Arabidopsis thaliana: one gene and its partners. The protein of the gene in region 4 interacts with the protein of the main gene of each other region in a pairwise test. Each region holds a gene or a part of one and is shown on either strand. Other genes may lie near its edges.

Region 1 (7,089 bases), 4.5 Mb from region 4:
GTCAAGGATAACGGCAATGTAAGTTCACAGTTGAAGAGATGAATGTTTGTAAAAGTGAATTCTGATGATGTTTAGGATTGTGGCTTGAAACATGACAGTGTAAATCGAAACTTCAGATTCTGAATATGGCACAAATTTGATGAATAGTCAAAATACTTGAAAAGATACCAACTTTATTTCCTGAAACCAGTTACAAAGTGATAGACACAGAGTGATTCATGAAGAGCTGAACAAAAGATAAACGCCACTACTACTATTACTACTTCATCTGAAGGATGAATTTTGAAGACATTAAGAAACAGAAACTCAGAAGAGGTCGTCAGAGTCTTCTTTAAGTGTGAATTCGCATGAATCGAACCGCCAAGCCAGAGGAGTGGAAGGCATCATAGAGCCATGACGGATTGGAGAGCGCCATGGAGTCGAGTTCTTCAGCCAATCAGAAAACTTGGGCGATGCCATCTCTTCTGGTTCTTCGTAAGTCAGATCGTCCTTAGCATCCATCTGAAACCAAAAACACATAGGATAGAGTCATAAAAAGTGTCACTTTAAGTTCCAAAACTAGATTAAAGATGCAGTCTCACCAAAATCTCCATCAAAGACAGAGAGATAGACATTGTTTTTTAAGTACAGTACCTTTTCAATGTCCCAATTGAGATGCTTCTCCTTGATGCTGGAACCTGCAAGTACAAAAGATCAAGTTTAGCACAAGCTTACTCGCAAAGATTGGTTAAACATCATAGCTTAGAAGATCTAAATACAATACCATGATGAAGTAGCATGAGATCAGCAGAGTAGTGATCATCCCAAAGATTTTGCTGTTCTTTGATGCATTTGCTGTGATCATGTAAAAACCTTTCCCCAGCTATATCAATCTCTTTCACAGCAGCAGAAGCAATTTGCTTGTTCTTTGAAGAAGCAGCAGCTTTCGCATGAATCCCAGACTTGTTTGTAATATCATTCAGAGCCTTACGAGCTCCTCCAGGTTTCTTCTGACCAAGTACAGTCCCTTTGGATTTCACAGAAGCAGCAGTGACAGACTCTGTAAATAATAGCCAAGAAAGAAAATGTTAAATCTTTGTTTCAAAGCAATATGATTTAAAGAGAGTAGAGAAAGATTAACTACTTTTGCGATGAATTGGAGCGTTCTCGTCTGGGAAGATCATTTGTTGAAGAGCGTTCATGTTCGCCATATGGTTTTAACTGTGAATCATCAAAGAACCAATTGCAGAAACGAAGATTTGATTCCAGAACTGACGATTTTAAGCAATTAGAAACCCTAAAAAAGGTAACAGAAACCCAACTCGAAATCGAAACAAAGATCGTTTTTTTCACAAAACCCAATTCGATCCTCAAGCAAATTTAACACCACAGACCCCAGAAACCCAGAACGAATCAAGTAGCGACATACGAAAAGAAGAACAAACAATCGCAAGAAGAACAGTCTATAATGTGAACCTAAATCAGAAGGAAGAAAGAGATTACCTTTGTAAAAGTGAAGAAGTTTCTTGGTGAGATTCTTGTTGGAAGAGAAGTGTATAAGAAGATGAAGAAGAGCGCTTAGAGTGTTTAACGGTAACTTTTCAATGTTGTTCTGACGAAATAATGAAGAACCTCCGGGATTAGGCCAAAAAAAGTAAATTTATAGAAGAAGAGAAAAAGTTTCTAGCCGTTGGCAGAATATTTTAATGCAGGCCTAATCAAGAATTGGCCCAGGTACAGGCCCATCACATAAATCAAATTGACGGCATCAAACTATCATGTAAGATAGAAGCAAAACATGTCACACTTCTCTAAGTTATCTTCTTATCGGCTAGATTTATCATCATCCTTGATTAAATCTCCTTAATTTTGGAAGGTTAAATTATAGGTAAAGTGTATATAATTAGTCTAACCAAGGATATTCAACGCTTCTCGTTCCTGTTCCTTATATAAAACCATTATCCTCACATAAAGAAGACTTAACAAAAAAAAAACTCTTTTCAAAACACATTAGAGACAATTAACAAGAAAAACCCTTCTAATAATTTGATCAGAGATATGGGTTTTTCGCACAAGTTGTGGGATGAAACTTTGGCCGGTCCAACGCCGGAAAATGGTCTCGGGAAGTTGAGAAACCACATATCCGGTGAAAGTGCCAACCGGAAGTTGATGGTGGATCTGAAACGTGTCCCGAATTCTCCTGACCGTTCAAGCAACCCCGTTTCCCCTTTGACTCTTATGTTACCTTTTTTAAAAATCCTTTCTGATCCACTTTTTTTTTATCTTCTATGCTTGTGTTATGAGCAGTTAAAACCCTATATATTCATGTAAATTAAAGACTTTGCAAGGTGATACATATGTTCATAGTCATTATAAGCTTTTTTTTATTATTTTTTTTTTTTATTTTGACATCCATAATCATTATTAGCTTGAGAGTATTATGGATTTGTAAATTAATGATTACCAAAATCATTTGTATGCAGCTGGAACACCAAGTGAAACACATGCTACAAGTCTCAATGCTTGCGATTGGTTTGATCTCCCTCTCTTTTCTTTCCTCTCAAACTATACTTCATTTTATCCAACGCATTATCGCTTTCATTAGTACCACCATATCTAATTAACGTCCGGTAATACTGCAGGATTGTGCTAAACGCATTGGACCGTTGAAAAATATTACAAGGTATTTCTACGAGAAGAAGAAGTATCCCAAACTACTTTTCTTTGTATATATATATTTGCTGTGTACATAACATAATGGTCGCTTTTGGTGTTTTGAGATTTGAGAAATATTAAATTTCTGTTTGTTTCACAATTCACGAAGATTATATAAGGTCTTTTTGAAACATAGTATTTCTGGAATGTTTAAAGTTGTATCTTTGACAATGGTGAAAAGAAAAAATGATACTAAGTGATAACATGCTAACGTAGCGTATGGAAAGCCCAATAAAAACCCATGCCCAAAGTAAATAACATCCACGTCACCGTTCTTATTGTTAAAAGAGAGACTAATTCGAATCGATTTAACGAATGAAGCAAGACAACGAAGGAAGACAACTGGAAACTATCGACGGACTAAAAAAAGTCTACGACCGATATTGAAACTGACGGTTAGGCTAAGGGTAATTTCGGTACATCACCGGAAAAATGGTTCACGGGGATAGTTCCGGTAATTATAGTAAAACTAGATGGGCTTTTCCGTCAATACACTTCCTCATCGGATTACGAAGAAATGGGGAAATTACGATACAAACCCATCTTTTACCCCTAAACCGAGCCGGCAACTTTACCGGTGACGGAATCTTACCTCTGACCTACCAATCACGTCATTCCACGTCATCTCCCCGTATCTTCTCACGTCCTTCCACGTGTCCCCTCTACTCACCGACGCCGTCTCCTTCCCGTTTACCCCTCCCGAACAGAATATTAACCCAAACCCTAACCCTATCTCCCTCTTTCACGAGCTTCTGACTCAGATCCGGCGATATCGAATTCCATGGAGGACGATGAAGACATCCGATCTCAGGGTTCCGATTCACCTGATCCGTCTTCCTCCCCGCCGGCGGGACGAATCACGGTTACGGTGGCTTCGGCAGGTCCGCCTTCTTATTCTCTGACTCCTCCGGGTAATTCGTCGCAGAAGGATCCGGATGCGTTGGCTCTGGCGCTGCTTCCGATTCAGGCCAGCGGTGGAGGGAATAACAGCAGTGGGAGACCAACCGGCGGCGGCGGGAGGGAGGATTGTTGGAGCGAAGCAGCTACGGCTGTGTTGATTGATGCGTGGGGTGAGAGATACTTGGAGCTTAGCAGAGGGAATCTGAAGCAGAAGCACTGGAAAGAGGTGGCTGAGATTGTGAGCAGCAGAGAGGATTACGGTAAAATTCCCAAAACTGATATACAGTGTAAGAATAGGATCGATACGGTGAAGAAGAAGTATAAACAAGAGAAGGTGAGAATCGCTAACGGCGGTGGCCGTAGCAGATGGGTGTTCTTCGACAAGCTTGACCGTCTGATTGGATCAACGGCGAAGATCCCGACGGCAACTTCTGGAGTCAGCGGTCCTGTCGGAGGATTGCATAAGATTCCTATGGGTATTCCAATGGGAAGTCGTTCGAATCTGTACCATCAGCAAGCTAAGGCTGCAACACCGCCTTTCAATAATCTTGACCGGTTAATTGGAGCTACGGCTAGAGTCTCAGCTGCTTCTTTCGGTGGCAGTGGTGGAGGAGGCGGAGGAGGATCTGTCAATGTACCTATGGGAATTCCGATGAGTAGCCGTTCAGCTCCGTTTGGACAGCAAGGGAGGACTCTGCCACAGCAAGGTAGGACACTGCCACAGCAACAGCAGCAAGGGATGATGGTGAAAAGGTGTAGTGAGTCGAAACGCTGGCGTTTCAGGAAGAGGAACGCTTCTGATTCAGACTCGGAATCTGAAGCAGCAATGTCAGATGATTCCGGTGACAGTTTACCACCTCCTCCTCTGTCGAAGAGGATGAAGACGGAGGAGAAGAAGAAGCAAGATGGTGATGGAGTGGGGAACAAATGGAGGGAGCTGACTCGGGCAATCATGAGATTCGGTGAAGCTTATGAGCAAACAGAGAATGCGAAACTGCAACAGGTGGTTGAGATGGAGAAAGAGAGGATGAAGTTCTTGAAGGAGCTTGAGTTGCAGAGAATGCAGTTCTTTGTGAAGACTCAATTGGAGATATCACAACTTAAGCAGCAACATGGGAGGAGAATGGGAAACACCAGTAATGATCATCATCACAGCCGCAAGAACAACATCAATGCGATTGTCAACAACAACAACGATTTGGGTAATAACTAGAATTTAGTGATGCAGTGTCGTAATTGATATATTTTAGATTTGAGTCTTTAATTGTTGAAAGAGAAACTGAAACTTATCTAGGCTTCATGAGTGTATTAATATTTTGCATATCTTTCTTAACTTTGGTCATATGGAACAGATTTAACTTCACTAGATTGCCTGAGATCATTCTGCTGCAGACTCTTGTGCACGTTTTTGAACTTCTCTTAATCTCTGAGTTAGATTGTGTTTCACTAGTTAGGTTAGAACATGGCATAGGACATTTTTGACACAATCCAACCGCAAAATCTTAAAGCTATGTTTGGTTATTATGACATTGGAGATTTGCATGTGTACCTAAAAGCATTTTTTTAACTCTTTTTCTTTTGAGTAATTGTTTGAGCTAGATTTTCTTGTGTCTGAAGCATCATTCAAACCACCAATGATGATCTTCTATAAAAGAAGAATGTTAGGCAAGAAACCTTTTCGTTGGTCTGTTTATTTATTTTTCTATGATGTTTGCCTTTTGGCATTTTATAGGTACTAAACAAATGACAGTCAATTCAAATTCATTACACATAGATGTTTCTCACAATTTTACCTTCCGCACTAAGCTAATATTCATGTATCGAAAGGTGAATCATGATATTTGAGTAAAAATACCATCTTCCGAGTCCCACCGTAACATCATTCTAACTTGCACTATTCTTATTTTTTTTTGAAACGAATACAATAATGAAAACGTAAGAAATAAAGCATCTTGAAATCTTCTGAATTTTGTTTTTGTTTTAGGTAGAAAAGAGTTTGATTCCAAAGGTCCACGTGTGTTTAGACATATAGATTAGATATTATCTAATGATATATTGGTATCACTAGGATTACTAATCAAGATTTTTCCTTAGTAAAGTTCAAAATAAAGTTTTTTTTTTCAAAATAAAGTTTTTTTTTGGAACTAAATCTAGCAATAAAAGTAGTGATTACTAAAGAAATAGTAAATTATTAATGTAACAAATGAATATTCTTTTTTTTTTTTTAAAGTGGGCAAGAAAAGATACCAAAAAGAAAGAAAGAATTGGGTAGGATTTAAAGCCATGTCTCCATTATAAATATATAGTTAGGGTCAATTGTCCATTAAAATTAAAGAAGAATAAAGAGTGATATCCTATAATTAGATATTTTTTCAGGGGGTCCATCATTTGATTTAAAGTGTCTCCAAAAGTTGGAATAAAAATGGTTGGTGTTAATATTATTAATTTTCAGTAGAGTAGAATAAGCTCTAATTTAAATACTTCTTTTTGTCAGCATCTATTTAGTACAGTGTTTATTTAACATAATATACATTTTGCACATAGAGATTTTACTCTAAAACAGCGAATCGTTGTTACTCTTAACGTTAAATATTTGGATCTGAAAGGCAAAGTACCAATATACCCATTTGTTCCTTGGCCCATCTGTGGGTAAGAGACTAATTTACCCCTCCAATTTATATACTTCACAGCAATAAATTCGAAGAATAAAAGGGTATTATGGGTAACTAACGAAAGCCGTTTAGGATTCGGCGAGACCTGTTTCCGGAATTTCGTAATTACTGCCGACTTTCTTTGATTTTTGTTTAATTTAATATTTCAAATTTTACGCTCTATTACTCTCTTTTTTTTTTTGTTTTGTCATCGTATACGCTACTTCACGTCAACAAAAATGGTGATTTTTGTCTGAAGAACGTTTATTTCTTTCTCTTGATTTCACTTTCTCTCTCTAAAGTAGATTTTTGACAAAGATAGATTACGGCGGAAGGAAGGAGACACACAATGATGGGAGAGATATTGAATCCATCAGCGGAAGTGAAATTAATTACGAAGTTGACTTGAGAGTTTTGAGTGAAGCCAAAAACAGAAGAAAACAATCTTCATTGTTAGGGTTTTAATAAGCTTTAAGAAGAGGATGCTGAATATAGAAAGCAGAGAAAGAATCTCGACAATGATAGTAACTATTCGAATGTGAATCTGAAAGAGACTGATTCATCGGAAACAGACGAAGATCTCATTTTGTTTCTATTCTCAGGTATGGTCTGATCCGAGCAGGACTTCACTTGAATTTCAATGGCGTTTTGTTTCCTTATTGGATTTGGGATTTTACTTTATGTCTTGAATTTGAATTCGAATCATGGGTCTTCGAGGATTCGTCCTTATTGGGCGTGAATCAGTTTTCTTAGTGATTGGGTTTTCAAATTTCCATGATCGGAATCAGATCTAGCAATGTGTTTGATTCTGTGATTTGTGTTGGGGTTTCTATTATTGTGATGT
Region 2 (6,830 bases), on a different chromosome or scaffold from region 4:
TCTAAGAGAAATAAGTCAGAAGAAGAAGAAGTCAACAATGAGGATCACAAAAGCAAGAAGAAGAAGTCTAAGAGCAACACAAATGTAGATCAAGTTGAAACAAAAAAGAAAGAAGAACATAAAGAGAAGACAATCCCAAGTAACAATGATGATGATGATGATGCTGAGAAGAAACAGAAAAGGGCTACTCCAAAGGAGGAACTCGATGCTATAGATGATGCTGAAACCTCTTTCGCAGAAATCTTTTCCCGGGAAAATGTGCCAAAGGGTTCTGAAGACGGTATTGAGAAGAAGAAGAAAAGCAGCGTCCAAGAGACAGGTTTAGTAAAAGTGATAGATACTAAAGCTAACAAGAAGAAGAAGAAGAGTGAAAAGAAGCAAAGCAAGAGTGTAGTGATTGATCTTCCCATGGAGGTTGAGATCGGGTTAGGAGGAGAGTCTAAGTGGGAGTAAACTGCAACAGAGGGAGTGTTTTACTCTTTAAAAGAAGGGACAGTTATGTCTGTAACATCCAACGGCTAGGGAGTATTTTGATATGGTTAAAGAACATAGGAGAGGAAGAAAGTGGTTTCGATCTTCTTTATAAATTGTTTTCTGCACTGTTGAGAAGCTATATCTAATTTTATAAAATGTTTGTGTCATTGAAACCAAAACAAAAAAAGGAGAATAGGTCCCACCGAGACTTGAACTCGGGTTACTGGATTCAGAGTCCAATGTCCTGACCACTAGACCATGGGACCATTCTATTCACGCTTTAATATTTGTTATTTTTATTGTGTTAGTTTCTAGTGTGTAATAAAAAAGAGAAATAAAATGATACAAGCTAAATGCTAGGAAAAATGTGGAAACACTAGTTTGGACAATGAGAAGTTTGAATTTTGATTTCAGAAAAGAAAACTAAATTAATTTTAGTGCAGACTATTCCGATTAGGTGTAAATGTGGTCTACATTTGTGATATATTATGAAGACGTAGAGAAGAGTTAGAAATTTTTGTCATCTTCTTTTGTTTCCTATGTTTGTTTTGTAATGCTAATGTTAAAACCGATTTGCTAGTTCAAAATGTCCGTATCTACCCGTATTGAATGTATGTAATTACCCATAGTATGTATTGTATATTGTAAACGATATTTTTTTAGTTTAGCTTATTTGACAAAAAAGAACGTCGTTTTTAAAGTAGAGTTTAGATTGCTGCTGCAAGAGTAGTTAGTATATTGAATAAAAGTATAGTGATATGACATTTTTGTCAAATTCTCCATGTGATATGTGAGTAGTAGTCAAAGACTCAAAGGAATAAAAGAGAAACAGACTAGAACTCTTTTTAATCTGAACCGTTCATCTATGTTGTATTTTTCTTCTATCATCGTGGCACTTCTCTAGTCTTCACACATTTTAAAATTCTTTTTTACTCGTATTAATTTATTTTTAAATTAGTAATATGTTAAATTATTTGTAATGGAGTTAAAAGAATCTGGAGGATGGATTTGATTTGACTGGCAGAGAAGGCATCTATCTCTTTGGGATGTTCCATAAGTATTTACTATTATTTGTACTCAGCATGTGCCTGTCTTTCATAATTCATATGCCAATCACAAAACTTGTGTTCAAATTAGTATAGAGACAATCATTGGTTTTGAGTTGTGAATTATGATTGGATAGTAGTAATCGTTAAGGCATCTAGGAAATTTTATGTCTGATTTACATTCAAAAAATCCTATATGTTTTAGAGCAGCAATATTTTTTTTTATGAATCCAAAAATCTAAAACCATGTATTCATTGTGTAACTATGATTGTTTAATGAGAGATTTTTAGCAATGATTGAACATCTACTATATATATTAGTGTCAAAATTGTCAAAGTTTCGATGTGCGACAATTCCAATAACTTATAACAACTGTCTGTAAAATTTTAGTGTATTGATCTTAATACCTACCTCTCTAGACAAAAGCCATAAGTTTATAAACACAATCCTAAAACATAAAATGAAGAACTATTCAATCCTAAACGAAAATGATTTATAATAATTATATTTCTGTTTGTGTTTTTGGATTGTGTATAACAAATATTCGCATTTAAACAAAAATACTATATATTATCTTTCTAAACACTATTCAATCATAATTGAACAATCTGCATGATATAAATCGTCAAAATCAATAAAAACTAATCAATTTTGCATTAAAAATAAAAAAACATCATCTAATTCAATACAATTTTTTTTCCTAAAACATAAGAAAAAAGGAGTATACTTTCTTGGCTCATGTATCTTGCCTTGTCTATGCATATTCATTTATTTCAAAATATGTCACCCATATTCATGTTTGTTGAAAACAATGCTACTTTATAGTAGTACGTAGTACGTTGTCTTTAACTCTTTTGACGTTCATATTATTTCCCAAAAAAAAAATACTAATCAAAAACGAAATGAGTCGGGTCTTAATCCGATCAAACGAGGTTAAATTGTGACCTAAACCCGTGTTCTGTTCGACTTTTGGCAAGTTCTAGAAAACACATGTTAGCTTTTGACGTTAGCATAGAGGTTAATGCTAGTTTTGATAATCTAGTACGTTGTCTTTATTTGATGCTCTTCTTTTTTTCTTCTCCAGAAAAGCCTACAAAAACTTAATAGAATCCTGTCTAATCCGATCAAACCAGGTTAACTTGTGGTCTAAAGATTCTAAACTCTTTAGAAAGCACTAATTTGGAAACATGGATTCCATGATATCTTTTTGCAAGTCATTGTTGCATTAATGAGTTAGCGGCAACAATATTTGTACTCATTGATTATGAAATTATTTTTGTTAAAATTAATGACGAAATTGGACAACATCGGTTCATGAACCCTCCAAAGAAAATTTACATTGCCCAAATAGACAACGCACAAACACAAAAACACCACACTGTCTCCATCTTTCTTTCCTCTTCTTCAACATCTCTCTTCTCCCAAGAAAATAAAACACAATTTCCCAGATTCAAAACTTCTTTTTCACAAATCACAACGTCTTCAAAGGGATCAAGAATCTTATTACTCTTCTCTTCTTTTGCTTTTAAGAAGAAGTAAAAACATCATCTTAACTTTCACTTTTTGTATTATCTTTCTCTTTCACTCACTTTAAAGTCTATTTAGAGATTCAAAAACAAAATCTTCCAGAAACTGCTTCTGATCTTAGAAGATGACTCACTTCTCCTAAAAAGCACCAATTTCAATCCTATTTTTTTCTCTTGTTTTCCGGCAAGATTTGGTAAAATTTTGTGTTCTGATTTGTTGTTTTGAATATCAACTATGGAACAACGGAAGAAAGGTTGTAAGATCAGGAAGAGAGGTGGTTCTTCCTCTTCTTCTTCTTCACTTGCTCGTCGAAACCGCTTCAAACGTGCAATTTTCGCCGGGAAAAGAGCCGCTCAAGACGACGGTGGCTCAGGAACTCCTGTTAAGTCCATCACCGCCGCTAAAACTCCAGTTCTGTTATCGTTTTCGCCGGAAAATCTTCCTATAGATCATCATCAATTGCAGAAAAGCTGCGTGTCGGCGAGAAAGCTAGCTGCGACGCTGTGGGAAATCAACGACGACGCAGACCCTCCGGTAAATTCTGATAAAGATTGCTTGAGAAGCAAGAAACCATCGAGATACAGAGCGAAGAAATCAACAGAGTTCTCTTCCATTGATTTCCCGCCACGATCATCCGATCCGATTTCTCGTCTAAGCTCAGAGGTTAGGGTTTGCTTCAGTTTCAAGTTTCCTCTGTGTTTTTTTTCTTTCTGAAATTCTAAGTCTGAAAAATCAAAATTGCACAGAGAATCGATCTCTGTGACGATATGATTCGTAGAAGATCAACAAATCCTCAGAAATTAAACCCAATTGAATACAAAATCATTGGCGCAAACTCGGTATGATTTGCAATCTTACCCTAAAAACACTTTTCTTGCGGAAGAAGAAAGGTCTGATTCTTAATTATATTACAGGTGAAAACTCGTTTCAAGAATGTCAGTGACGGATTAACAACGTCTAAAGAACTGGTAAAGGTATTAAAAAGGATCGGTGAGCTCGGAGATGATCACAAGACAGCAAGCAATCGTTTGATCTCTGCTTTGTTATGTGAACTAGACAGAGCAAGATCTTCACTAAAGCATCTAATGAGTGAATTAGATGAAGAGGAAGAGGAGAAGCGGAGGTTGATAGAGAGTCTACAAGAAGAGGCGATGGTTGAGAGAAAACTCCGGCGAAGAACAGAGAAGATGAATAGAAGATTAGGGAGAGAGCTCACGGAGGCTAAAGAAACAGAGAGGAAGATGAAGGAGGAGATGAAAAGAGAGAAGAGAGCTAAAGATGTTCTTGAAGAGGTTTGTGATGAGCTAACTAAAGGAATCGGAGATGATAAGAAGGAGATGGAGAAAGAGAGAGAGATGATGCATATAGCTGATGTTTTGAGGGAAGAGAGAGTTCAAATGAAGCTTACGGAGGCGAAGTTTGAGTTCGAAGATAAATACGCCGCCGTGGAGCGGCTGAAGAAGGAGCTCCGGCGGGTTTTGGATGGTGAAGAAGGAAAAGGGTCGTCGGAGATTCGTAGGATTTTGGAGGTGATTGATGGTTCTGGTTCTGATGATGATGAGGAGAGTGATCTTAAGTCCATTGAGTTGAACATGGAGAGTGGTAGTAAATGGGGTTATGTTGATAGCCTGAAAGATCGTCGGAGATTTGATGGCTCCGGCGGCGATGATGATGATGATGATCCGGTGGAGAAGAGATCAGTGATTGTTGAGAATGGTGAGAGAGATGAGTCTTTGAAGACTTTGAGAGATTACATTGTTTCAAATGTTAGATGTATTGGTCCTTCATCGTCAGAGCAGTGGAATCATCGGAATTTACCAAGCTCTGAGTTTGTGTAATCACCACCGCTAGCGCCGGCGAGGAAGAAAAAGAAATCATTTTTTTTTATAGTATATAATATTTCAGTATTTGTAATTTATTCAATTTAATTTGAAATACAAAATCAATTACGGAATATTTTTTGCCGGTATATCACATTTTTTCGTCTACAATGGTTTAACCTCAATTTACTACACATATCCAATCAAATCATTATTTGCATTTTCTATCAAAATATTCCGTTTTTATGATCGAAGTTTCAAGTTTGTAATCAAGTGATTTGTCAGAATTTGAAGTCTATTACGGAACTTAAGTGCTTATTTTAGAGAACAACAATTCATTACGTACGAGTTTTTATGTTTGTAACTAACTCTAATTAGACCATAATGTAGATGTAGAGAATAAGGGGAAACCAAACAAATCATGCTTGGAATGAATTGGAGGTGAATTGTACATTGTATATAACTATTAAAGAACTTATTTATTGGTGGCATTGAAGATATACACATGGAAACGTTGATTTGGTGTAAATTAAATCATAATGATTAGTACAACAATGAGAATAAGAACGAACAATAATGAGATATATAATTGATTCAAGAAAGGATTAGTTTAAGATTTTGAATCAAAAACGAAACAAGACATTTTCTCTATTATTGTCTAGACATTTGGACAGCATCGTTCCATCTTCCCATGTGATTTTGTCTCAACTATATATCCGTTACGTTTTACCCTATTTGGGAATATTTGGTAACAATTCAACCAAAAAAGTTACAAAAATTAATAAGATGACATGAACAATAACGAACAATAACGGATCTTCATTTTTCGATCATATATACACATGATTAGGTAATAGGTCAATTCGTGTGAAAGATATATGCATATACCAATCAGCCTTACTCTATGTCCCCCACTCAATATAATATTTTAGCTTAGAACCATATATATATGTACCATTAAACCAAATCAAGGGGTTTTGGGTTCCAAAAGTTTGTCTTTCTTTTTTTGTTTCATACTTTTACATAGTTTAGGGATAAATCATTAACTCGTATAACAAAATAAAACTACTAAAGTTGAAGCATAATATAGTGCCACTAGGCTAACTAATTTTCTCTCATTGAATGAGAAAGGTCAAATGCTAAAAACATTCGCATTATAGGGAGATATTTTGTCAGAGTGATGATCTTATCAAGTTCGTGTGTGGTTTATCTCTTTGTCTCCTCCTTTGTCTGTATAATAAACATTGATATATACAATGAACCTACCTACAAAATCACTATTTTGAAGACATTGATGTTACTAATATAGCAACTAGCAAATCAACTGTCAGTGGACAGATCGTCTCAAACATGGGCAGACTTTTCGTTTCGATTTTGGTGTTACCAAATAACACTTTGAATGTTAAAAATATGAGTTTTCCTATATATTAATATACTTCGTATTTTTATCCCAGAACTTGATTACATAATTTTTAAACCTATAAAACAGAGTTTTTAAAATTCCATATTTCGGTTTGTTTCGGTACGAATGTGTTGCTTATCCTCTATGCCAAACCAAAAAAAAACAATTTATATGAATGTTTTAGGTTTTCACAGGGTGGATACAAACAGAAAAGCCTAAGCCCATTCCAAGAGACAGGGAAATAAATAAGGAAACAAGGCCCAAACCCATAGAGAGTGTTGTGTTGCGGAAGAGTAGAGAGAATTGGTAGCTTATTTGTTTTGGCCATTTGGGTTTGTTTTTCTTTCATCTTTTTCGTAAAAATGACTCATCTTAATCCCTAACAAGTTATTGAATCACTAGTTTCATGTACAAATTTGAAGAACATGGAACGAGCAGAACCAAGCATAGTATAAACGAGGAATAGAAGACAACACTCAATCTAACGGTTTAGATTTTTTATCGATTTCAATTACAACACAAGTCTTGAAGTTTACTACAGATAAACTTCATCAAATTAC
Region 3 (9,540 bases), on a different chromosome or scaffold from region 4:
TTCTTCTTTTTCTTGTTCTTTGTCATCAAGCAATTAGTATGGTGAATGAACAATCAAAAGCTTGTGTTTTAGATCAGTGGAGGAGATGAAGAGAATTATCCGTTAACGAGGAGAGTGCAAAGAGATATATGGATTCATCAGCATCCTTTGGATTGCGGAAACAAGAGTCTCAAGTTCCTTGTAGCTGATTGGGAAACACTTCCTGGTTTTGGAATAGGAGCTCAGATAGCTGGAATGACTGGTCTACTCGCGATAGCTATAAATGAAAACCGAGTGCTTGTTGCAAATTACTACAACCGAGCAGATCATGATGGTTGCAAAGGTACATAAAGGCTTTAATCCTTTGAGTCTTCACTCTAACATATAGCAGCAACTATCACAAATTACATCTTCTTGGTTAATCTTCTTATCAAGATGTTTTAGACGCTGAAAAGTGTATATAAGAACCAAACTTTGGATTTGATTTGGTGTTTCTCTTTTGTTTTGATGCAGGTTCTTTTCGTGGAAACTGGTCTTGCTATTTTCTACAGGAAACGTCAGAAGAGTGTCGAAAACGAGCCTTTGCGATTGTGAAGAAGAGAGAAGCGTGGGAGAGTGGGATTGTTACAGGGAAACAAAATTATAGCACAAAGGAGATTTGGGCTGGGGCTATACCAAAGCAATGGGGTAAGCCTTGGAGTTATATGAAGCCAACTACAGAAATCAACGGAAGTTTAATCTCCAATCATCGGAAAATGGATCGGAGATGGTGGAGAGCACAAGCAGTGAGATACTTGATGAGATATCAAACAGAATACACTTGCGGTTTGATGAACATTGCTCGAAATTCCGCGTTTGGAAAAGAAGCTGCCAAGATTGTTCTTTCAGCTGGAGATTGGAGAAAGAAGAATAAGAAGATGAGGACAGAGATTGAGGAACAGGTGTGGTCGGATCACAAGCCGTGGCTTCCAAGGCCAATGCTGAGTGTTCACGTACGGATGGGAGACAAAGCATGCGAGATGAGAGTCGCAGCTTTAGAAGAGTACATGCATTTAGCTGATCGGATCAGAGATCGGTTTCCAGAGCTCAACAGGATCTGGCTCTCTACAGAGATGAAGGAAGTGGTGGACAGAAGTAAAGATTATGCTCACTGGAGATTCTATTACACGGAAGTGGCAAGACAAGTCGGTAATAAGTCGATGGCTGAGTATGAAGCGAGCCTCGGGAGAGAGATGAGCACAAACTATCCTCTGGTTAACTTCTTAATGGCGTCAGAAGCTGATTTCTTCGTCGGAGCATTGGGTTCCACTTGGTGTTTCCTCATCGATGGTATGAGGAATACGGGTGGGAAAGTCATGTCTGGTTATCTCAGTGTCAATAAAGATCGGTTCTGGTAACTTTGCGAGTTCCACACTATGTACATAATAAGACTCCTCTCCTTTTTTCTTCATCTGTTGCACAAAGAGTTTTCAGTATAATAAAGGGAGGTTTGGTTGACAAACAGTTCAGAGCAACCGCAAACCAACTAAACCGATTCCGATGTGAAGATTTGAAGATCAACTGAACAGAGCAAAGTGGCTTTTCCTTAAGAATTTCACAAATAAAAAGACATCACTTCAAGATCAATAGTAATAACACAACCAACCTCTTCTCATCTCAGTGACATCCTGTGTCTTCAGGAACCAACCAAAAATTAAAGGAACTATAGCATTGAAATTCACAAGTCTCAACATCTGGAGATGATGAAGTAACACCCAGAGATAGAAACATCAGAGCAAAGTGAATGCAATACAGGTGAAGAAGACTGTAAAATCTAGACGATTGTTAATAAATATAACTGTAGAATCAGCTAACAAATAAAGAGAAGTTAGAAAACAAATCCAAGCTAAGTATGGTATTCAACAGAGGATACTACCGGCTTTTCGTTTGTTTTTCACTTTCCTTCCTCAACAAAGCTCCAAATGTTCTTCTCAGGGACTTTACATTTCTCTTCTGCATGATTAAGTTATATTATGAAATAATAACATTTGCACAAGCATCAACATCAAAGTTTTTTCAGTTTCTTTTTTTTCTAATCCTTTTCCACTAGTTTTATCTTCTAGACACTACGGTTTTCCGTTGACTTACCTTTATGAACTCAAAAGGGAGCCTCCAGCGACGACTCATCCCAAACCTCAGCACTTCCATTAGATGCATCTTCAACATCTTCTTCCATTGATAGCCTAATATACTCTCTATGTGCAAAACGGTCCCAATCTGTCAATGTAGGGTTCTCTCGCTCCTGTTTCCGTTTGACATTAGAAATGTTATAAGACGCATGTGGTGGTGTGAAGAAGTAGCAAGGTAAATTAGATGATTAGTACCTGACGAATGAGGAATGGATCCCGGGTTTCAAATGCCATAAATTTGTTGAGATTAAATAGGATGTTGAAGACGTTTCCAGAGAGCTTTGAGCCTTTCAGGTCATGCAGCGTTATATGGCTTTCGTTCTGTGGAAGGAAATAAAAAACAATCAAACACAAAACAAAATCACAAGACTCAGAAAGAAAACTGGGAACACAAACTACTTCTGTGACTATACTAAATATAGAAAGAAGAAAACAAGAGATATATTGTTGAACCTCAGGTCCGATCATATCAATCATCTGACATAAGATATCCTCGAAAAGAACAGCCTCTTGCGCCATGCACTCCATTCTATGCAACTGCTCTTCATAAAAGAATTGCATCTCATTTCGCGTAATAATCCCATTTGCATCCAAGTCTATGCACTTAAACCTAGTCCAACGTATACTTGTGTCAGATAAAAGACTTAAAATGGTATCTGTCTGCAACTTTCGGACCCTTCTATCACAACTTACCAATATTCTAGGCTAGGCACTGACGATTTATCTTCTTCCGCAAGAATGAAATAGACAAAGTCCTCATACCCCATCTTCCCTTCAACTTTGTTAGTGAACTTCCTAGCAACCTGAGAAGAAACCAATGCATCTTAAGAGCAATAATAACTTTGAACGAGGAAAGAACTCTTAAAATAGAAGCAATATAAATAAAATCTTCAAGTAGTAGGCATTAAAGAGCAAGGTTTTTTAGACAGAACCTGGGAGAATATTCTGTCGACAATCCGGTAGGTAAGAGCATGGTTTCCATATCGCATAAGATTTTCTTTGTCAATCAGGAAATCGTGATCCGTATCCAGCTCCCAGAACTTGCAGTATATGACATAGAAATGCTCATACGAGAAGTATCTAATTGCCAAAGTGAATAGAAAAGTGATGTTAAATGAGCAAAAACAATACTATAAATACAACAATAGCACGCAAATATTTTTGTCAGTACCTCAACACTTTGTTAATATCTTCTTCTTCATCAGCATGTAGCATAGCATCAATTAAGTTTCCCCGTTTAAGCTCCCTAAATGTAATTCGACCATTGCCAGATCTATTTATGTAATAAAATATTCGGTAGGTGACAGTTTCAGCTGTTTCAGCAAAATACAAATTGTATCAGACAGAAAAGCATCCTTAAAAATTTAGCTTTGATACCGGTAGCAGCAAATACCAAAGAATATGGACTCCAGATATCTAGAAAGCAATCAAAGTGTTCTCGGGAATTCATTACTAACTGACGCATGATTCATAAACAAGCTCCAGAATTTATTTTTTCTGATATTGATTATATCTGCAGGATTCATAGACTGAAGATGATTCATTCCGTGCTTGAAAGCTTTATGGATTTGCAAGTTATAAGATGATGTCTAACACAACAAAACAAAGAAACCGTATCTTATAAAAATTTTAAAATCCATACAGAGTAATGCCACATTTATTACTGTATCTCGATGCATCAATTATCAAAATTATTTATTTCACTAGAAATATTATTGATGTGGTAACCATTCGACAGATTTAGATAAGTACATGGCAAACTTATTCACTCATTCTTCTCAACTAGGGCTGTAGCTACCAATATACTTCGAAGAATAAAATGTACAATCAAACTCAATTACTAAACACCATTACTCAAGCAATATCAAGAAGAAATACTATTGATCTGGTAACCATCTGACAGATTTAGATAAGTACATCATACCAAAGTGGCAAACTTATTCACTCATTCTTCTCAACTAGGGCTGTAGCTACCAATATACTTCAAAGAATAAAATGCACAACCAAACTCAATTACTAAACACCATTACTCAAGCAATACCAAGCGGAAAAAGAAAACATGAGATAACTTAGGATACTAAAAATGTAAATAAAGTTGAGACCTAACCATATCTTTCTTGGAATTCAGGTGTGGATTGCAGGAACTCTAGCCCAGGATGCGTCGCCAACAGTTCTTTGAGTAGTGGTTTGAAATCATCCTGCCATGAAAAAAAGAAAAGAATCTGGAATATAATAAACTCGCTCTCATGACTGACTGAATATGCAAATCTTAAAAGAAAATAACCTTAACAATGAAACTCTGATCTTTCTGCTTTAGTATCTTGAAGATTTGGGTCGTTGTATCCATTATCAACATGTTCCCGTTTACCCAAAAATCAATAAATGCATCTCTGTAGAAACAAACACGAAAAACTGTTATACTGGGTGGTGTTTCAGTAAACTATGCAGACATGAAGAGGAAGCACCATACAAAAAAAAAAAAAGCATAGAAGAAGCGGCACACACCTAGTAACAAAACCTGTATTGTTGAGATCGATCTTCCGGAAAAGGGAAGTGGAGAAGAAAGATGGGAGCTTGCAGATTTCTCTGGTGACTAACTTGAATTCTGAGTATTGATTGAAAATGGAGAAAAAAGTTAATAAACAGTTCAAATATAATTAGTAGAAAACAAATGACTGACTTCTAACCTTGTATCTGCAAGCCATCCATGTGACCATAAAAGAAGTGATTGATTCTAAACATACATTGCTCTTTAATCTCGCTTGGTGGAGGGCGACCATTTTGGAAATAAAACTAGAATCATTTCAAGTTAAGAAATCAGTGAGTTAACTCCATTCCATTACTATATATATATAAAGAAGGAAGAAAAAGAGGAAAAGAAACCTGAGGTATAGGCTCTTTAACAGGCTCGTTGACTACTTTGAGAGTAGAACCTAAGTTAGAAGGGGCTCTCTGTTTGGTTGTACGGGGTGAACCACAACTCCTTGGTGAAAGCGGAGGAGCACTTCCCGCAGGAAACATAGATGGTATAGTGGCAGAATTAGAACCCGATGCACTTCCAGTAACATTGATAGGAGCTCCAGCTACAGCATCCTTAAGCAATGATCCAACCTAGAAAACCAACGAGAAAAAGATTAGACTAGAGATTCCAGTGAATAGAGAGTAATTAAGCAACCAAATCTCATTAACCACCTAAGGCATCATTGTCATAACTCACACAATCCAAGAAAGATTCAAACTTTACACCAATCTTCAACACCACAGAGTAATTTAGCAAACAAATCTCATTAACGTAAGCTTCATTGTAATACTCACATAAGAAAATAAGAATATACGTCATAACTCACAGAATCAAAAAATGATTCAAACTTTACACCAATCTTTCAACACCACAGAGTAAATCTCAGTAACCTAAGCATCAATGTAACACTCACCAACACTATCAAAGAAAGATACGAACTTTACACCACAGAGTAATTAAGCAACCGAATCTAAGTAACCACCTAAGGCATCATTATAATACTCACTAACACAATCAGAGAAATATTCGAACTTTACACCATTCTCAGTAAGCTAAGCATCATTGTAATAACTAACACTATCAAAGATCCCAACTTTACACCAATCCTCAACAGAAACCAGAGAGTAATTAAGCAACCAAATATCAGTAACCACCTAAGGCATCACTGTAATACCCACTAACAGTATCAAAGAAAGATTCAAACTTTACACCAATCCTCAACACCACAGAGTAAGTAAGCAACCGAAGTATCATTGTAACATTACGAAAGAAAGATTCGAACTAACAGAGAGTAAGCTAAGAAGCATGAGTGTAAGAATAGTGAAAAAGCAGAAACCTGTCGCTGAGCTTCGGGAAGAGAAAGCCACTGGTCGAAGAGCTTCTGAGTGAATCCAGGTTTAGAATTGAGAACAAAGGAAGACATTTCCTGAAGCTGCAACAAATCTGCATCCAAACAAGCCATATCTCCGGGAATAACCGTATCCACCATATTTAATCAATCGCATCAAAGTCGAGAAGATGAGAGAATGATCTTTGAGGCGAGCGAAATTGGAATTTTGAACAAAGTCGAGATCTTCTTCACCAACACATCGAATCTAGTCTTCCTTCTTCTCCGATTCCGAACAAGGAAATGAGACAGCCAAATTCTTTTATTTATTTATTCTTTTGAGCAATCTGAAATAAATAAATAAATTAGAGAGATACCCAAAAAATACTTGAAACACAAAAAGTTGATTTTAAGGGTTTATAATTTATTAAATGTTTGGGTTTGAGTTAAGTTTTTTGGGGTTTAGGGTTTATTTTTTAGAGTTTAGGATCTAGTTTTGAAAACTTTAAAAGTAATTTTGTGGTATTTTCAGAAAATAATATATTTTAGTGGTACTTTCAAAAAAATATAAACTACTAATAATGTTTTATAACAAAAATTAATTTTATGGTATTTTTAAAAATATGTCCATAAATAAATTAATATTTCGTTGACTAAATAATAAAAATAAGTAAGTGTATTTGAAGTAGAAATTTTTTTTCTCAACATGTGGTTGGATTCTTGATTTTTTCTATATTTTGTCAACCACACATTAGTTAAAATATTACTTCATAATTGGTAGTCCAATCTTAAGGAAAAATATTTACGAAACAAATTTCATATAATATACTATCTAGAGTAACGAGTTAGACAATCTACCTTATACAAGAGCCATGGATTCTAGAAAGAAAGAAAGTTTTATATATCATATAAAAAATACTTGACGAATGAGAAACATATGATGTGTTTCATATCATGTTTTCCATATTTCATAAGATTTTCTTTGTCAATCGGGAAATCGTGATCTTTATCTTTATCACATAAATTATAATATATGACATAGAAATGCTCTTATGAAAAGTATTTTGTTGCCAAATAAATAGAAATGTGTTGATATCAAAAAAACTAACACAAAACTATAGTTTGCAAATACGTGTAACTTAAAGTCTGACTCAATATTTATAACAACAAGAAAAAAAAACTATTTTTGTTAGTATCTCAACACTTTGTTGATATCTTCTTCTTGATCACCATAAAGCATATCATCAATTAAGTTTCCACGTTTAAGCGTTCTAATTGTATGTAGATCATATCTAGATCGATTTATGTCATAAGATATTTTATAGGTAACTATTTCAACTAGTCCATGGAAATAAAAATTGCATTCTTGAAAACCTGAGACATGGTAAAATCTAATCAGGTTCACATAATTTTTCTTGACTAAATCACATATCATATATAATTCATGTACTTTTACCAAATTTAGCAAAATTATCCCCTTATTAACAACATTAACTAGGGAAAAGAAAAACTATAGTAATCTGTCATTCATCAGATCTCGTATGTTCTATATCATCTTCATCCATGTAATTTCTTTCTAGATTACCTCATTTGCCCACAAAGACATCAAAAGAGAAATTATGATGGTCACTACAAAACTTAAGAGGCAAAATATAACGTAAATTATATATATGAAAGGAGCTCAACTCTCTCCCACAACTTGACACATCAGCACATGAGAGCTTGCCACCTAGACTTATTAAAATAAGTAAAATATAATTAGTAATTAATTCAACATATGAACCTATCATAAGTAAGAACTTCAACCATCACTCTTTCTATATTTTTAAATATTTTCTTGAGCACTATTAACCTTAAATTTGTAACAAATCCTCTAACATGTTGATTTCATAACAAATTTAGCTGGTGAAATGTGTGTCGATCAATTAGAAAATATAGTTGTTTTTTATAAAATGATAGGAAGAAAAATAAACGGTAAATTATAACGATTGTGATTCTTTCAAGTTATTTTTTAACGTATGAAGTTCATATATGTTGGTATGGTGTTATTAAAGATATTAAATTATTATGATTATAGACATAGGCGATTGGGTTTAAAGTTTACAATTACGCTCACTTGGTTGGTTTTGCCAACACAAATCTTCCATTACCTGGTAAATATTTACTAAACATATGATTTTCTATTTAAAATATCTAAATATTAACATTAGTCTCAGCTTGAAATTATAAATATAATAGAAACATTATTGTATTATACGAATCTTAAATATTTACTATTCTTGGTTAATAACAACTGTGAAGAAAATAGAGAAGAAGAAAAAAACCAATAATCGAAATTACAACTAAAATCAAATTGAAAACAATACTAACCTGGTTTAGTAAGGCAATAAGTGTAATAAGTGATGTTACCTCGTCACCAGTGGGAAAGATAAGGAGGAAATACGCGGCGACTGAGCCAAAAAGCTGAGCAATCAAGTAGAAAATACCACTGAGGAGAATGATGTTACCTCTGACACACTGAGAAAGACACCGAATGTAACGACAGGGTTAACGTGGCCACCAGAAATGTTAGCGACAACAGAAACAAATAACAAGGAGACCTAAAGCATGAGCTAAGGCAGCGGCGACGAGGCCGGTAGGAGTGGTGGCTCCATTGTTAGTGAGCTTGTTGAAAGCAATTCCGGAGCATGAGCCAGCGAAGACGAAGATCAAAGTCGAGATAAACTCTGAGAGCACAACCCTAAGTGCGTTCAGATAATAGACCTCTTATTGGAATCCATAAAAGGCGATGTTTCTGGTCACCATGATTGGTGAATTATTGAACAGCTGAGGTTAAAAGCTTTTTGATAAAAGAGAGTGAAGATATTGGTTTGGTTTTCGTATATATATGGCCGAGTGTTTTATACTTCTTAGTAGTTGTAGTTAAAATCCATTTGTTTGTCATATAAACATATTATTTAGCATTTTTCAAATCAAATTTTTAAAACAAATTAAATTGTTTTTAATTTGGACAACTATAATAATACATTAGGTGCATGTTTTAAATTGTAACAGAAAAAGAAAAATGAAATTTACAGATATTCGAATGTAATTTTTTGTTAAATCTTAACATACTATGTATACATGTTGAATTGTCGACTTTGATATTCCAGACGCATGCCTTTCAATGTACCGACAACAGTAGCTGGAACCTTTGATCATTTGATTCACCGATGCCCCAGAATGATATTTTATTTTTACAGAAGGCTTAGTTCCAACTAATAGATTTGACGATTAATCATCCTAAGAAACAACGGAGAATTGCGAAAGCCATCCGACGAGATAAAATTCGTCAAACAACAGTAAAGCAAATTAAATTAGATATGAACATAGATCGATAGACGATTAACAAATCCCTACTTGAAGGCTGAAGCATAAAAAGTCTTTGTTTGTGTCGGACCAATTTAGGGTATATTAAAAAAGTAAAGGCTGATAGAAGGATAAAGCACAAAAATACCAAAACACAAAACAATAATTCAATAATAATTTTCTACTGTTTTTTTTTA
Region 4 (7,340 bases):
GCAAGATGGTTTGACCAAGAGAAAGGTTTTCGTGTTAGGTTTTTTTTTATAGAAAGGTTCATCAATACAAAAGATTTTAACTAAGAAATCTCTGTTCTGTTATATGAATGTTGCAGGTTCACTTGGATGTGTTGAGGAGGAAGACAGTGTTGCTGCTCATCTCTGATCTCAACATACTACAAGATGAGCTATCGATTTTCGAGCAAATCTACACAGAGTCAAGGAGGAACTTGGTTGGGGTCGATGGTAAGAGTCATATGCCTTACGAGGTTGTGTGGGTTCCAGTAGTGGATCCTATTGAAGATTTTGAAAGATCTCCGATTTTACAGAAGAAATTTGAGGATCTCCGTGACCCTATGCCATGGTATCTAACACATTTATTTCAAAACACACATTCTAGTAGTTGTAAAGAAAGATGGAGAAATATAATTGGAAGTTATTTTTTTTTGTGGGGGTCAGGTATTCAGTGGATAGCCCGAAGCTGATAGAGAGACATGTGGTGGAGTTTATGAGAGGGAGATGGCATTTTATGAACAAGCCGATACTTGTGGTGATTGATCCACAAGGCAACGAGGCTAGCCTCAATGCGCTTCATATGATCTGGATTTGGGGCACTGAAGCTTTCCCTTTCACTAGATCTCGTGAGGAAGAGCTCTGGAGGAGAGAGACCTTTTCCCTTAACCTCATCGTCGACGGCATCGACTCTGTCATTTTCAACTGGGTATTTCAAAAGTCTCATCCTTTTTTCTTTTTATGATTGGCCTGGAAACTCTAGAAACAGAGCAGGCAGGGTTTGACCTAAATTACATTCATTCAAGAACGAGGCGTGATTAATGAACAATGATGGGTCTGATTTGCAGATAAAACCGGATAATTACATTTTCCTGTACGGAGGAGATGACTTGGACTGGATAAGGAGATTCACAATGGCGGCCAAAGCAACGGCCAAAGATTCCAACGTGAACCTTGAGATGGCTTACGTCGGAAAACGAAACCATAGCCACAGGGAACAGATCAGGCGTATCAGTGAAGTAATCAGGTCTGAAAACCTGAGCCATAGCTGGGCCGAACCTGCCTTGATGTGGTTCTTCTGGACTAGGCTCGAGAGCATGTTGTACTCCAAGATTCAACTCGGTAAAGCCGATGATCACGACGATGTAAGAGTTGACTAGCTAGGGTTTTCAATTATTTCGGTTCGGTTCGGTTCAATTGGTTAATGAATGATTTTGTGTGTTTGAAAACGTTGATTAGGTGATGCAAGGAATCAAAAAGATACTAAGCTACGACAAGCTTGGAGGATGGGCACTACTGAGCAAAGGACCTGAGATAGTGATGATCGCTCACGGTGCCATAGAGAGGACTATGAGTGTTTACGACCGGACCTGGAAAACCCACGTCCCGACCAAAGGCTACACCAAAGCAATGTCCGACCACCACCACGATGAGGTCCTCCGTGAAACCGGAAAACCTTGCGGCCACTTTGATTTCCACATCACTGCTCGGAGCGGTCGGATTCCGGAGAAGATGAATTGCTTCGAGTGTCAGCGTCCGATGGAGAAGTACATGAGCTTCTCTTGTTGTCACGATGAAAAGCTCCACGAAGACGAGAACTACAACTTCTAAATGATGCAATAAGCTCACGTCTCTTCCCGCTGCTTTTTCTTTTTGTTTTACGTAATTTGAATTCTCTATATAGTTTTTCATAAATAATTTCTGAATTTCAATATCTTTGTATGAGAGAGAATTGGTCATTCCATGTGTGTGGTTTGGCCTTTGTGGGACATGTTCGATTGAAGTATTCCTAATAATTTTCAATAATTAACAATTTCTTCTCTTAATAGCATAGATAAATGTTGAATTTATTTTGTTAATAAAATTAACCCTGATGAATACAACAATTTTGAATATGTCAAATTAGACCAATTCAAAATATAACTATTTGCTTTCTTTCTTCTCATAATGTTTATATATCCCACTTTAGTAAATGGACCCCCACGAAGCACACCACAGCATACTCTTTTTTATTCTTTCCAGTTTCTAATGGTTTACTTATATACTCTTATCATTTTCTAATTGATCAATTTGTCATTTATTGGCTTATCTTCTTATAAATGTTTTTTGTGTTAGTTGTTGATATCTCATTTTCTTGTCCAGTGAATTATAGCATTTCAATGTGTCCCTCATGTCGTCAATATAATGTTTTATTTTCCTTGTTATGATCCATATCTTCATGTGTGGTCCATCTTCAAATAAAGAATGGATTGTTACTACTCTTATCGTTTGGGCTAGTTTTTATAATTAGACACAAAATTTGTAACTTTCATTCTTTTTTTAGTATTTAACACAAAGTAATTTGATGGATTAGTCTAAATAATAAAGGCAAAAAGTTAAGTAAATGTCAAAAGAGATATGGCATATGTCTAATCATAACCAATGAATTGCATGGTTCTATCTAAATAGCAACCATATCATCCCACATGCCATTGTCCACCTTGTCTATCTTAGGAAAACACTTTGTTTGTAACTCTATTGTACTCTTTGAATTATGAAATCTATGTAAACCCTTCTTATTGTGGGGGACAAAGGCTAATTTTAATGGTCTGTCCACTTCTGCTTGACTTTGATACATAAATTAGGGGTGGCTCATGTCATATCTATGAGAATTAGGTACAAAAGAGTTTTCAAATGAGCAAGTTGTATTTTTATTCGATTAGCCGTCGTATTATGTCAAATATAAGTTAAAAATATGTAAAAGTACAAAATGTAGATTATGATATTAGGGATGAATTGAGATAAAATTACCTATAATTTATTACTACGCATAATAAATAATTTGTTACGTTAATTCTCATAGATACGTTATAGCCAATACCGAACCCCTATTTAAGTCAAAAGTACTTCTAAGTATTTTTTAGCGTAAATCAATTTTTATGAAAAGCAACAATTAAGATTAATGTAGTAATCTAGTAATCGTTAAAAAAGCCACTTTGTTAGTATTGCTTAATACTCTCTCTCTCTCTCTGTTCCCAAGGAGATGAAAAGCTTCAATCTCAAAACATAGCAGCTCTCTCAATAAACCAAACCCAAATGCAAGCTGTGTAGAGAGAAACGGAGTGAGGAAGGAAGGAGATGGGAGGGGTGACGTCATCGGTGGCGGCGAAGTTTGCCTTCTTCCCGCCGAGTCCACCGTCTTACAAGGTGGTGACCGACGAGCTCACCGGACTGTTGCTTCTCAGCCCTTTCCCCCACCGCGAAAACGTAGAAATCGTAAAGCTTCGGACCAGGAGAGGCACAGAGATCGTGGGCATGTACGTGAGGCATCCGATGGCTACCTCCACGCTCCTCTACTCCCATGGCAACGCCGCCGATCTGGGACAGATGTATGAGCTCTTCATTGAGCTTAGCATCCATCTCAAGGTTAATCTTATGGGGTCTGTTTTTCTTTCTCTCCCTTTGTAATTCGATTGATTTTATTATTATGATGCTGATTTAAAAATGTTATCTTTGTATGCTTCTTTTGATTGATTTGGTATAGGATTTGCCCTGTTTTGATTCTCACGTTTCTAGCTCTGTTTCTAGTATTTGCTCTGTTTATGTTTGGAGTGTTTATTCACCACCCCAATAAAAAAGGAAACTTGGGCTAGGATCTGCTTGGAATCAATCAGTCTTTGATATTATTGGTTGTGATGTTGCAGATACGATTACTCCGGGTATGGACAATCTACTGGAAAGGTTTGTCCTTTACCCCATCAATCTGATTGGTCTGATGATCCATTATGAGTTTTAGGACCAACTCTCAAAAATCTTTCTTTCTCTTAAATGATTGATTGTAGCCGAGTGAGCATAACACGTATGCTGATATCGAAGCTGTTTATAAGTGTCTTGAAGAAACCTTTGGCTCTAAGCAGGAAGGTGTCATCCTCTACGGCCAATCTGTAGGCAGCGGACCTACGTTAGATCTTGCTTCCCGGTTGCCTCAACTTAGAGCCGTCGTCCTTCACAGCCCCATTCTCTCCGGTTTAAGAGTTATGTATTCCGTCAAGAAAACCTACTGGTTCGACATCTACAAGGTAGACCACGTACCAATTCTTTCTATTAATCCTACACATTCTCCAAATTGTAATGTAAGAAGCTTGTTGTGTGTGAGTGTGTGTTTTTCCGCAGAATATCGACAAAATCCCATATGTCGATTGCCCGGTTCTCATCATTCATGTAAGTCAGGTTTCAGATAGATACATTTTCGTTTGAATTTTTGATAAGCTTTTTGGATCCAAACAGTTTCAAATATGTGCAGGGAACTTCGGATGAGGTAGTGGATTGTTCTCATGGGAAACAACTATGGGAACTCTGCAAAGACAAGTACGAGCCGCTCTGGGTGAAAGGAGGGAACCACTGTGATCTTGAACACTACCCTGAATACATTAGACACCTCAAGAAGTTCATAGCAACAGTAGAGAGATTACCATGTCCGAGGATGAGCAGCGACCAATCAGAGAGAGTGAGAGATGCGCCCCCGAGGAGAAGTATGGACAGGAGAGTGAAGCCGAGGCAGAGCACAGAGCGTAGAGAGAAAGAGAAGCCACCAAAGAGTCAGTCGAAGATGAGTAGCAGCAGCAGCAAGCTCAAGATCTCGTTTGATCAACTTGATCGCTCGCGGAGGAGCGTTGACTGCCATGAAAAGACTCGGAAGAGCGTTGACCAGATTGAGAGGGGGAGGAAGAGTGTGGATAGGTTGGATAGAGTTCGCTCCGAGTAAAAACCACACACTCACACTCACACACGTATAATACGTATGTAGATGAAAAGAGTACATAACTGTTTCTATTTACCGAACAAAATAACATGTGGATGTCGCTCCTCATATTATTGATTTGTAATCTTTTATGCAATTTGGGATCTCTCTCGCCATCTCCTTTTGAATCAACAACCTTTTGTGGTGGGCTTGAATATCCATCCTCTGTTTTTAGATGAGTTTTTAGTGTTTGTGGTAAGTAGGAAAGTTCCAAAACAAAGATCACACATCTCATGTGGGCCTGAACTAAATTCATGGCCCAATCGTTTGTTCTTAATAGAAATCCAATTTTTAGGATCTCGCTATCTTTTGCTACGTACAAAAATTAATATATACAAAAAGTAGCTCACTTCTAAAATAAGGCTAATGGATGCCCATTTTCTTCTCAAATCCATCGATTTTCCTAAAATTTCTCAAATTTCAAAACATATAAATCCATCTCATTGTCCTCTTGTTTTCCTTCATCTGAAGCTTCTGCAGTATTCAAACAAATAAAATATACTGCTTTAGCTTTGGACACCTCCTCTTACTAATCTCTATAACTATATTTAAAAAGTAGAAAATAATGGCACGTCTATTTGTCGTAGTTGCCCTTTTGGCTTTGGCCGTGGGCACCGTATTCGCCGCCGATGCACCTTCAGCTGCACCCACCGCCTCACCAACCAAATCCCCAACCAAGGCTCCTGCCGCTGCACCCAAATCCTCCGCCGCCGCACCGAAAGCATCATCCCCTGTTGCTGAGGAACCCACCCCTGAAGACGACTACTCTGCAGCCAGCCCCAGTGACTCCGCCGAGGCACCCACCGTCTCCTCCCCACCCGCTCCTACCCCCGAAGCCGATGGTCCCTCCTCCGACGGACCCTCATCTGATGGACCCGCCGCCGCCGAGTCACCCAAAAGTGGCGCCACGACTAATGTGAAGCTCTCCATCGCCGGCACTGTCGCCGCCGCCGGATTCTTCATCTTCTCTCTCTAAGTTTTGTTTTTTAATTAAACTTGAGACGGAATCATAAGATTCACATTATGAGATGAGGCCGTATCTCTTTAACTAACTAACTATACTATATACAGTGATTTATATTAATCAAGAGATTGAATGGAGTTATTATTATTACGTACCGTTGTTGTACTATGTTTTTTTTGATTACGTAATTTTTGATGATTGTGAACTTATTAATGTTTATTTAGAAATTAAATGAAAAACAAATTTTTCAAAGAGGGCATTTGGTCTAGTGGTATGATTCTCGCTTAGGGTGCGAGAGGTCCCGAGTTCAATTCTCGGAATGCCCCCTTTCTTTCTTATTTTGTGTTTTCAAATCATATATAAACAAAGTTTACAAATATTCATACAATGCAATCTAGTAAAATTCAATATTCCTTCTTGGAATAAAACCAAATACAGTATGTCAACAATTCCAAACTAATCCTTTTTTGAGGCAATCCGGTTTTGATAGTTCTCCCCACAGCCACAGGCGCTAAGTCAGCGCAATATCTCTCTGAAAGATGATGATAGGGAGTTTCTGTAAGACCTCTCTGCTACTGTAACAGAGCCTACAAAGACCACACAGAGAACTCTCAGACACAGAAACGATGGCTACTATCTTTTTCTTTTAGTACTTCACACATACATTTGGCGATTAGTGAAAGTAAGCTTACTTTCTTAGTTTGGTCTGTTGATTTTGGTCTCTGTTTGTAGAAATTTGGAAGTGGCTTCGCTTTGAAGCATAGCCTTTGCCTTAGTTTACTCTCTTCCTTCTCCACACTCCTCTCCTCCGCCTTCTGGTTCTGTGTCTCCATTTCCTTGAATTTCCCCTCTAGCTTCTGAAACACAAGAACCAGTTAAATGATGGTAAGTGACAAGACAAAAGCGTAGAAACCAAAAATATCTCTATTCTTGCCTTTTTTCTTCTCTCTGCTCTCTCCTCTGTTCTTAAGCCAAACGGTGTAAAACAGCTCGGTGTCCTGCTTTTGTTTTCCAATAACTTGGTTAAAAAGGTACGTACACATTATACATTTTTGAATTGAGTAAACTCTTATGAAGATCAGTTCTTCTTACTCCGCAGGGAGGAAATTCCATCTTCCTCGACCTGTCTTGGCAGAAGAATTAGGAGCTATCTTCCCTCTGCACTTACTGTAACACCTGATTACTTCTCTAACCACTCGTGAATGAAGGAAGTAAAAAGAAGTTTTCTAAGAGTTAATTCAGTTTTTACCTTGTGTTACTCGATAAAGGTGTGGACAAGGAGTCTTCAACCATTCCCTTTGCAGACACCTGCAATCATCACAAGAGCATAAGCACTTGGTTGAGTGAAACACAGTTTAAAGAATGCAGTCACCTTGTTTGATGGTGTCCGGAGAGGAGTTTTGCAGTCTTTGGTTGGTTTAGAAGAAGCTCTTGACCCATCAATCTTCCTTATGATGGACACCAATCTATTGAACTCTTTTGCAGGCGTGAAAGTGTACGAGCTGCTCTTGTTATTAGACTTTTTACTTGGAGTCCTCTCCGATGAATTGTACTTAGAGACTCTTGGTTTAGTACTACTCTTTG

Evidence for each region.
Region 1: the proteins of AT3G01690 (region 4) and ASIL2 interact in a two-hybrid assay, tested with the Arabidopsis thaliana proteins (one large-scale study listed by BioGRID).
Region 2: the proteins of AT3G01690 (region 4) and AT5G22310 interact in a two-hybrid assay, tested with the Arabidopsis thaliana proteins (one large-scale study listed by BioGRID).
Region 3: the proteins of AT3G01690 (region 4) and AT5G28900 interact in a two-hybrid assay, tested with the Arabidopsis thaliana proteins (one large-scale study listed by BioGRID).

What each region holds. Positions count from the first base shown.
Region 1 is NC_003074.8:4,705,008-4,712,096, reverse strand, and holds ASIL2 (sequence-specific DNA binding transcription factor), read left to right. Parts: upstream 1-2,920; 5' UTR 2,921-3,475; coding exon 3,476-4,807; 3' UTR 4,808-5,295; downstream 5,296-7,089. Other genes in the region: AT3G14190 (uncharacterized protein), read right to left, coding at 307-501, 634-677, 764-1,039, 1,124-1,190. UniProt on the Arabidopsis thaliana protein: Transcription regulator that may repress the maturation program during early embryogenesis.
Region 2 is NC_003076.8:7,381,798-7,388,627, reverse strand, and holds AT5G22310 (trichohyalin-like protein), read left to right. Parts: upstream 1-2,794; 5' UTR 2,795-3,282; coding exon 3,283-3,711; intron 3,712-3,794; coding exon 3,795-3,887; intron 3,888-3,962; coding exon 3,963-4,886; 3' UTR 4,887-5,045; downstream 5,046-6,830. Other genes in the region: AT5G22320 (Leucine-rich repeat (LRR) family protein), read left to right, coding at 1-453.
Region 3 is NC_003076.8:10,922,469-10,932,008, reverse strand, and holds AT5G28900 (Calcium-binding EF-hand family protein), read right to left. Parts: upstream 6,375-9,540; 5' UTR 6,158-6,374; coding exon 6,005-6,157; intron 5,259-6,004; coding exon 5,031-5,258; intron 4,941-5,030; coding exon 4,835-4,940; intron 4,753-4,834; coding exon 4,653-4,752; intron 4,538-4,652; coding exon 4,432-4,537; intron 4,346-4,431; coding exon 4,255-4,345; intron 3,461-4,254; coding exon 3,319-3,460; intron 3,228-3,318; coding exon 3,080-3,227; intron 2,951-3,079; coding exon 2,841-2,950; intron 2,758-2,840; coding exon 2,601-2,757; intron 2,469-2,600; coding exon 2,343-2,468; intron 2,261-2,342; coding exon 2,117-2,260; 3' UTR 2,107-2,116; intron 1,972-2,106; 3' UTR 1,547-1,971; downstream 1-1,546. Other genes in the region: AT5G28910 (alpha-(1,6)-fucosyltransferase), read left to right, coding at 73-322, 493-1,376.
Region 4 is NC_003074.8:253,624-260,963, forward strand, and holds AT3G01690 (alpha/beta-Hydrolases superfamily protein), read left to right. Parts: upstream 1-2,671; 5' UTR 2,672-3,129; coding exon 3,130-3,431; intron 3,432-3,695; coding exon 3,696-3,732; intron 3,733-3,833; coding exon 3,834-4,070; intron 4,071-4,164; coding exon 4,165-4,212; intron 4,213-4,294; coding exon 4,295-4,756; 3' UTR 4,757-5,073; downstream 5,074-7,340. Other genes in the region: SEOR1 (sieve element occlusion amino-terminus protein), read left to right, coding at 1-25, 117-364, 460-721, 861-1,157, 1,252-1,623; AGP11 (arabinogalactan protein 11), read left to right, coding at 5,358-5,768; AT3G01710 (TPX2 (targeting protein for Xklp2) protein family), read right to left, coding at 6,368-6,613, 6,691-6,754, 6,849-6,914, 7,006-7,064, 7,129-7,340.